Caenorhabditis elegans: one gene and its partner. The protein of the gene in region 2 interacts with the protein of the main gene of each other region in a pairwise test. Each region holds a gene or a part of one and is shown on either strand. Other genes may lie near its edges.

Region 1 (5,194 bases), about 11 Mb from region 2:
AAATTAGACTTTAAACTTGAAATTTGTAGAATAAATTCCTCAAATTTTTAATTTTTTTGCTTGAAAATATATTAGTTTATTAGTTTACTTAACAATTTTAAAACCCAAAATTTTAATTTTCGCCGATTTTTTAAGGTTTTCCCATTTTATTTTCCAACTTTTTATCTAAAAATTGCAGAAATCCTGATTTTTTTTTCCGATTTCAGTGAATTTGCACCTTGTTTGTAATATTAATCAGCATATCAATCTCCTTAAGAGCCAGCTCATCATCGTGTTGGGGATTGTAGACAAATTTCACGCGAGCCATTTCTTTCGTTTTCGTAGTTTCTGCGTCTGTGCTCGCCGAGGCTGCAGAGCTCGCAAATGTGCTGCTGAATTTGGTTTCCAAGGCTTTGAGCACTGGAGCCGGGTCCGAGATTATCTGAAATTTTGATTTATTTGATTTAAGTGAAATTCTTCAGTTTCTGTATTTAAAAAATGTTTGAATAAAGTGCTGAGAAGCCATTTATGGAATTTTTTAATTGGAAAAAAACTATTTTCTTTTCAGTTTTTTAAAATTTAATTTTTCAGTTTTTTTTTGTTTTTGTCGAAGATAACTTTAATAAAAAATTGTAATGTAACAAATTTTAATTAAAAAATTTTTTCACTTCTAACCAGAAACTTACAATTAAAAGCTGAAAAAAAAGAGTTTTGGAACAAATTAAAAAAAAAATGTTTGGATATTTATATTTTTTGAATGAAAAATTAGCTGAAAATCAAAAAATAAATCGGCAAATAGGCAAATTGCCGGAACTTTTAAATTTCCGGCAAATCGGTAAAATGGCGGAATCGTAATTTCCGGCAAGTCGGCAAACCGGCAATTGCCAATTTTCCGGATTTCATCGACAAAAAATTGTTGATTTTCAATTATTTAAATTATTTGAATTTTTCCAAAAATTTGAATTTTTGCCATAAAAACTGATGTCTCAGGCACCGATATTTAAGTAAAATCTGTATTTTTGGGATTTTTCAGATTTTTTTCGCTACACGAACCGTCGACGGAGTTCTATCAATAGCTTTCGGCTCGCTTCTCATCACAACTTCACTTCCAATCGATTTTGCCGGAGTTCGAGCTGCTGAGCCCGCCGAAGTTGATGCACTAGCCGCTGGAGCAACTGCAGCAGCAGATGTGCTCGGCGTAGGCTTCAACGTCACAAAATTCGTCGGGAACATTCCGACGGCTCCAGTCGACTTGAGTTTTCCCTTACTCCAGCCATCTTCAACATCAGAGATCAGTTCGATGAGATCTCCGACGACAAAGCTTAGCTCATCGTCTTGTTTTGAGCTGTAGGCATACGTGGCCACGTATATTTGAGCTTGTGGTTGTGGAGGGGGAGCTGCAAAAAATATTTAAATTATTTTTTTGTAAATTTACACAAATTTTAATTTTTTTTTTCGAATTTTTTAGATATTTTTTTTCAGGATTTTCATGATTTTTTTTTAATTGTTAGAGCTATTTTAATATTGTCCCTCGACGAGTTTTTGAGCACCAGATCGTGAAAAAATCACGAAAATCGTGGCGGGACCCATTCGATCCAAGCCCCGCGCCTTTAAAAATGTTTGGATCTTTTTTTCAGTGTTATAATAATAATAATTGAAAACTGGAAGAAAAAAACATCTTTTTTAATTTGAAAAAAAATTAATAAAACTACAAGATTTTAGTGGAATTTAATTGGAAAAACTTTCAGATCGGCCGTTTTTTCCCCGAATTTTCTAGAGCTTTTTGAGAAATTTTCCTATTTTCTCGGACCAAAGCTCTAGAAAATTCGGAGCAAAAAAACGGCCAATCTGAACATTTTTCTAGTTAAATTCTACAAAAATCTTGTAATTTTATCTTTTTTTTCAAATTCGTCAAAAATAGTTTTTCTTCCAGTTTTCAAATATTATACATACTGAAAAAATATCCAAACATTTTTTAAAGGCGCCGGTTTTGGATTAAATGGGTCTCGCCACGATTTCCATGATTTTTTAAAGATTTGGTGCTCGAAATAACGTGATTAAATTTTAAAAATTAGAAACATTTAAAAAGAAAAATTTTCACAAATGAGAAAATCTCCGGTTTTTTTTTCATTTTTTCGACTGAAATTCTCAAATTTTTCGGTTTTTTTTTCAAAATTTCCAACTTTTTTCTAAAACAAACCTCTCCGTTCCACCTGTTGATGTACTGTAAATGGATTTCGATTTGTCATATCTCGGGAAAGTCGATTCACAATATCTCGCACATTTCCAGCGACTACTTCTGTCTGAAAATTGGCAATTTTTAGATAAAGATTTTAATCTGAAGTCTTTTATTTTTTCAAAAAATCACAATTTTCCGATTTTCTTTTGTTTTACATATGTTTTCTTTAAAAATTGCAGTTTTTACACATTTACTTGGAAAAAATAAAAAATTTTCACTTTTCCTAAAAAATCCCAAAATTTCCCATATTTTTATCCCAAAAATTGTAACTTTTTTTTCAAAAAATCATAATTTTTACAATCTGTTTTTTTAAAAAAAAATCAAAATTCTCACACTTTTTTTCCGAAAACTCTTATTTTTACCAATTGTTTTTGACAAAAAAATCGCATTTTTCTAAATCTTTTCAATCAAAAAATAACATTTTTACGTTTTTTGCCCAAAAATCTTAATTTTTACAATTTTTTTTTCCAAAAACGGAAATGTTTCAAATGTTTTTTATTTGCAAAAAAACAAAATTTTCACACTTTTTTAAAAATCTCAATACTAAAAAATCGAATTATTTTTTCTAAAAAGTCGGAATTTTTTAATTTTTTTAATCAAATAATGGCAATTTTCTCATTTTTTTTATCCAAAAAATTTGCAATTTTCATGACTTTTTCGACAATTTTCTCAATTTTCCAAAAAAAAAAAAAAAGAGATTACGAAATATACTAACTTCACCAACTTGTGCCATTTGTCCTCGATCCGCGAGTGTCCAACAAAAAAAACAGTTCAAGGCGGCTCTCGGATACAATTCTGGAAAAAATCACAATTTTTTTTAATTTTAAAATTAAATAAAGACTTTTGTGATTTTTTCAAGATTTCCAAGGTAACGTCAAAAAACCAAACAACGGCCAAAAAAAAAGGCGAAAATCGATAAGGAATTGTTTGTGCAGTGATGGTGGAAAATGTGGGGCAATAAAGTCAAAAACTTCTGTTATCAGTGGGGAGATGTGGAGAAAAATTTTGAAAAAAAACGTGGAGTGAATTTCAATTTTCACTTCTTCAATTGTGTGAGTTTCCCCCGAATGAGTCATCGCAGTGGTGTCTCCTATCGAGCGCCGCCGCGGGAAAGATCAATCACTTTTCGAACGTGTCCCCCTCCCCCACCCCCCTCTTCAATGCGTTGATGACCTGTGAACAGAAAAAAACGCGGCCAAAACAATAAAATCTCGTAAATTTATATTTTGATCGAGATGACATATTTAGGAATATATAATACGAAAATGCAAAATTCTGAGAATGCGAAAAAATTGTGAAAGTTTCGAAATTTTTTTTGAAAAAAAAAGGTGTAAAATTTCAATTTTTGAAAAGAAAAAAAAATTAAAATCTCGGTTTTTTAAACGAAAATTGAAAAAAAATCGAATTTTTTGAACTAAAAGTGTAATTTTAATTTTTAGATTGAAAACAATGTGAGAATTCCAAATTTTTGACACGCTTTCTCATTCATTATGACGGATATTACACGGTAACACGAAGTTGTGAGAATGCGTATTGCACAACATATTTGACGCTCAAAATATCTCGTAGCGAAAACTACAGTAATTCTTTAAATTACTACTGCAGCGCATGTGTCGATTTACGGGCTCGATTTTTGAAATGAATTCAAATAATTTAATTTAAGATTTAAAAATTAAGCAAAAAGTGAGAAAATAGGTAATACAAAGAAACTACTTTTTTCATGTCAAGAATCGAGATCCCGTAAATCGACACCAGTGCTACAGTAGTCATTTAAAGAATTACTGTAGTTTCCGCTACGAGATATTTTGAGCGTCAAATATGTTACGGAATACGCATTTTTACGAGTTTTGTGTTACAGTAATAACGGTCACAATAAATGATTTCCATTTTTGGAAAGGATAAGAAAATCTCGTTTTATTGGTGGAAAAATTGAATAAAAATCGATTTTCGAGACTTTTTTGTCTAAAAATCAAAATAACACTTTTTTAATCGAATTTTTCAATTTTTTCCTTCAAAAAATCAATTTTTCGCGCTTGTTTTTGATAAAAAGGACTCAAAATTTATTTTTTCGAAATATTTTTGAAATAAAACCAAAAAAAAATTTTTGGACCAAAAAATCGAACTGATTTTCGATTATTTTTTTTGAAAACCGTAAAGCTTTTGAAATTTTTGGGAAAATGCAGAAAACTGACAAAATCTCAATTTTTTAAAGTTTTTTTTTCGATTTTAACATCGCGCGAATTTTTTTGTCGACAAATTCGACAAATCGGCAAATTGCCTATTTACTGGATATTTGAATTCCGGCAATTTTCCGGTTTGCTGATTTGCCGGAAATGTTTAGAGGGATTTTTTATAAGACGGAAACACTTAAAACTGTGCCTTTTTGAAATTTTTTCCCGTTTTCTTTGAATATTTTCATAGAATTTGCTTGCTTTTCAAAACTGATGTAGGAACCAGGGGTGTGCGGCAAATTTGCCGAATTTGCCGAGCTCGGCCAATTTTGAGATTTGCCGCACACCTCTGGCAGGAACATTCATAGGATGCGTACAATTTTGCCGATCAAAATTGAAATTCTGAATTTTCCAACAAAAAAAACTAAAATTTGCCAAAATTTTTCGGAAATTGCCGATTTTCCGGAAATTTTCAATTCCTGCAATTTGCCGGAAAAAAATCATTTGCCGCCCAACCCCGGGTTAAATGCATTCCAGAAGTGTTCTAAATGAATTGTGAAACAATCTAACTGGGTGTGTCTGTGTGGGATAACTTTGTGTAACCTAATTACTCTCCTAAAATAAAAAAAAAACCCCGTCAGGAAATTTTTGTAACAGACAGTTAGTAGAGAGAACCAACACAAAAAAAACAGGAGAACCGCAGCCGCATTGGTGGCGGGTAAAGTGTATATATGTGTGTGTGTGTGTCTCTCTGTTTCGATTGCTAATAAACAGAATTGGAATTGGGAAATAGAGAGTGAGTGAG
Region 2 (4,841 bases):
TTCGCTGTTAAAACCGAAAAAAAATTACAAAATTTCCAATTTTTTCGGGAAAAAAACGGAAAAAATCAGAAAATTTCCAGATTTTTCCAAAAAATACCGGCAATATCTGAAAATTTCATTTTTTTTTTTGCAAAAATACTGGAATAATCAAAGTATTTCCAACGTTTCTATCTGAAAAATCAGAAAATTTTCCAATTTTTTTGCAAAAAAAAACGTGAAATGTATTAAATTTCCAGAATTTCCCAAAATTTTTCACAAAATTTCCAATTTTTCCAACTTTTTTCAACAAAAAAAATCCGAAAAATCTGTCATTTAAAGAGCAAAAAAATGTTTTTCCGCGAAAAAAACTGTCTAACTCTCTATTTCTCTTCTCTCTCTCTCTCTCCCCACCCACACACACACACACACATCTATCTCATTTTATTTCCATTCCGGCCTTCCCCCTCCACAAAAAGAACCAACGATCGATTTTTTTGAAAAGCATAATATTTTCCCGTTATTTATATATTTATCTTTTTTTTTCTATTTTTTGACTGAAATTATACCCAATTTGCTCAATTTTGACTGAAAATTCGACGCAATTCTCCCCATATTTTTTTCTAATTTTTTTTTTGCGAATTTTATCTCTCTTGCCATTATTATTTTGTTAATAAATAAACCCCCATTTATTGATTTTTTTTTTTTTGAAAAATTTGAATTTTCCGCTTTTTTTTTTGGACTCGGTTTTCTTTGATTTCCAACTAACTTTATTTTATTTCATATTTTTTTCCTGTTTTTTTCCCCGTTTTTACGATTTCTGCAGAAAATTTGAATTAAAAACTGCAAAAATTGGATTTTTCGGCGAAAAAATCTAAAAATTCGAGTTTATTTTCTGGAAATTGGTAATTTTTAAAAGAAATCTGATTTTTTATGGAAAAAAGTAACAAATCCCGATTTTCTTGTAGAAAAATCAAAAATATCATTTTTGAATGAAAAAAAGCGAAAAAAACCGTGTTTTTTTTCCGAAAAATGGAAAAAATCTCAGATTTCCCTTGAAAAAATGATAAATTTGAATTTTTCAATAAGAAAATGCGAAAAATTCCGATTTTTTGTTGAAAAATAGTTTTAAAAAATCCAATTTTCTCGTACAACTATTAATTTTCCGCAAAAAAAAATCGAAAATTATTGCATTTTTTCGCAAAAATTGTAACAAATTCCGATTTTCTTTTGAAAAACTCCAATTTTTCTTGAAATTAATCGCAAATTTCCAATTTTCTCTCGAAAAACTTCAAATTTTCAGCAATTTTCCCAGAAAAACTTTAAAAATTCAATTTTTCCGGAAAAACTTCAAAAAGATCCAATTTTCCCGGAAAAACTTTTAAAAACTCCAATTTTTCCCGGAAAAACTTCAAAAAATTCCAATTTTCCCGGAAAAACTTCAAAAAATTCCAATTTTCCCGGAAAAACTTCAAAAAATTCCAATTTTTCCGGAAAACTTTGAAAAAATCCAATTTTCCGTGAAATTAATCGTAAATTTCCCAAATTTTCCGGAAAAACTTCAAATTTTCAGGCATTTTCCAAAAATGGCTCCACCAAAACGAAGAAGCACCCGTCCAACAACTCCAGCAGCTCCTACAGATCCACCAATTGAAGAAAAAAAGCCGGATCTTCTGATCGCCTACGATTCGGACGAGAAATTCGTGTTCTCCTTCAGCGAAGAGGGTCTCACAGCGAAAGAATGCGCTGAAAAAATGAACGGATTCAGTGTAAGAACATGGTGCTCGCGGAGCACAAATTCTACTGAAAATTCCGGTTTTTTGTCTTAAAAAAAACTGAATATTGCTTCAAATTCTGCTATTTTCACTTGGAAAATGCCGATTTTGCTGAAAAATTCCGCGAATTCAAACGAATTTCAAGAAATTTCCAATATTCTGGACGGAAAAACACACGGAAAACTGAATTTTATCTAAAAATTCACTCTATTATGCAAAAAAAATCCAATTTTTCTGAAATTTTCCGCTGGGAAAATACCGAAAAATACTCAAATTTTGCAGAAATTCTGGGATTTCAACTTGAAAAGTCCCAATTTTTGCAATTTTTCCAGTTTTCCACGCTTTGGAGCACATGAAAAATTGAATCTTCTTCTGAAAATTCTGCAATTTTTTCGCAAACAATGCTCAAAAACATTACTTTAAAAACCCAATTTCTCAAGAAAAAACTGCAATTTTAAGTTTTTCAGGCTTATATAAAAAACTGACTTTTGCATGAAAAATTCTCCGATTAAAAATTGGAAAATTAAAAAAAAAACATTTTTTGCCTCAAATTTAAATCAAAAAATATCAATTTTTGCTAAAAAAAACCGAAAAAAATCCATTTTGGTCCAAAAAAATCCATTTTTGCCAAAAAAAAAAACCAAAAAAAATCTAGTTTTTGGGCCAAAAAAACCAAAAAAAATCCATTTTCTGATTCAAAAAAAAAAAAAACAAAAAAACATTTTTTCGCCTTAAAGAAACTAGAAAAAAAATTCATTTTTGGTCCAAAAAAACCAAAAAAAAATTAATTCTTTGTCAAAAAAAATGGCTAAAAAAGTTTTCTCCTCAATTACAAGCTGTTTTAACACTTAAGAGATTGAAAAATAAAATCTAATTATTATTTTTTTTTTCACAAAAAATATACGGAAAACTGAATTTTTGCATTAAAAAAAAGCGAAAAAAACTGCATTTTTGAGTCGATATATCAAAATATCTGCTAAAAATATCATCAAAATATTTTTTTCGAGTTTTTAATCGGAAATTTCAATTTTCTTTCTTTTTCCCTGGAAAAAAAGCATTTTTGCCGAAAAAAATACCAACCAAAAAAAAAGTCAATTTTTTGGTCCAAAAAACTTTAAAAAATTAATTTTTGTCAAAAAAAAATTCTTTAAACAATCCTTTTTTTGGTCCAAAAAAAACAACAAAAAGAAACCAAATGGTCCAAAAAAACCAAAAAAAATCCATTTATTGGTCCAAAAAAATAAAAATAAAAAATTTATCCAAAAAACCAAAACAAAAAATTCCATTTTTGATCCATAAATACCAAAAAAAAATCCATTTTTTTGAGCTAAAAAAACCAAAAAATCCATTTTTGGTTAAAAAAAAAAACCAACAAAAAAAATCCATTTTTGGGCTAAAAATACCAAAAAAAATTAATTTTTGGTCCAAAAAACACCGAAAAGAATTTTTTGATTAAAAAAAATCCATTTCTGCCAAAAAAAACCAAAAAAATCTAGTTTTCGGGGAAATAAAAAACAATTTTTTAAGTAAAAAAAACCAAAAAATGCCTTTTTTTTGTTTAATTTCCCATCTAAAAAGTTCCAATTTTTCAGACAAAAGAGCAATTTCTGACAGAAGTCCACGTGGATGAGATGCTCCGTTTCCTAACAAAAGTGATAATTGGAAGAAAAGGAGAACCACTGAAATGTCTATGCTGTGATCGTTTATATGTTTCATCGTCTGGATTCTTAATTCACATTAAAAAATGCTCAACAAAAAATGAGCAAGATCGTCTAACAGATGCTCAGAATAAATATCGAAATGAGCCGAGTAAATGGTTAAATGTTCGAAAAAAGGATCAAATTGCCACGTTGAAGACAATTGTTGGAACTAATTACACGTGTTTTATGATTGGATGTTCACTGAATTTTGGATCTTTGAAAGATCTTATTGAACATCTTGCAACATGTATTGGAGCTGATTATTATAGTTATAAGGTTCGGGGTTTTCCCAAATTTTCCGAGAAAATTTGGATAATTTTGAATTTTTTTTAAATCGGAAATTCAAAAAAAAAATTCTGGGAGAATCCGGAATTTTCCTGATTTTTTCAGTGTCTTTTTTTTGAAATAATCGGACAATTTTCAGATTTTTTCTGAGAAAATCCGGGATTTTTCATATATTCGAGCACTATTATAGTTATAAGGTTAGACTTTTTGAGAAAATTGGGAGTTTTCCCAAAATTTCCGGCGTTTTTCTGAGAAAATCTAAAAATCGTTCAATTTTATCGAATTTTTACCAAAAACAGAAGAAAAAACATAAATTTTGTCTAAAAATAAAAAAAAAACCCCCGTTTTTTTCCGAAATTTTTCGGTGATTTTCAACAAAAAATCTGGAATTTTTCCTTTTCCCAGTGATTTACAGACAAAATCCACGGATTTTTCCGTTTTTCGGTCAGATTTTTGGAAAAAAATATCGATTTTTCAAAATTTTGAGAAATTATCGATATTTTTGTTAAAACATTATTTTTTACACCAGCTTTTTGACAAAAAAATGTCTAGGAGAGTCGAGAATTTTTCCGATTTTTTTCGTGTTTTTCTGGAAAAATCGGACAATTTTCCGATTTTTTCTGAGAAATTACGGGATTTTTAGGTTTTTTTCATATATTCGAGCACTATTTTAGTTATGAGGTTCGGTTTTCCGACAAAAATTGGATTATTTTTTCGATTTTTATGAATCGAATCGAGAAATTCGAAAAAGAAATTCTGGGAGTTTTCCTGCCAAAATCAGAACCATTTTTGACTTTTTTCGGGGAAAAATCCAGAAATTTTTGATTTTCCTAGAATAATCTGGAATTTTTCTGATCTTTTGGTGTTTTTCTTACTTAGACAATCGTAATTTTGCGGAAATCTCCCGAATTTTCCAGTGTTTTTCTGAGAAAATGTGGCCAATTTTCTTCATTTTTTTTAATCCAAAATTCGAAAAAAGATTCCCGATTTTTTCAGTGATTTTATAACAAAAAAAAATTTCGGTTTTTTTTTTGCGCGATTTTTGTGATTTTCCAGTTATTTCTGACAAAAAAAATAAACCGATTTTTTTTAATCCGGAATTTTC

What was found.
Region 1: the proteins of Y105E8A.21 (region 2) and cdap-2 interact in a two-hybrid assay, tested with the Caenorhabditis elegans proteins (one large-scale study listed by BioGRID).

Annotation. Positions count from the first base shown.
Region 1 is NC_003279.8:3,327,661-3,332,854, forward strand, and holds the start of cdap-2 (SH3 domain-containing protein), read right to left. Parts: upstream 3,014-5,194; 5' UTR 2,952-3,013; coding exon 2,934-2,951; intron 2,283-2,933; coding exon 2,180-2,282; intron 1,377-2,179; coding exon 1,033-1,376; intron 422-1,032; coding exon 218-421; intron 1-217.
Region 2 is NC_003279.8:14,507,261-14,512,101, reverse strand, and holds the start of Y105E8A.21 (C2H2-type domain-containing protein), read left to right. Parts: upstream 1-1,549; 5' UTR 1,550-1,562; coding exon 1,563-1,745; intron 1,746-3,343; coding exon 3,344-3,727; intron 3,728-4,841.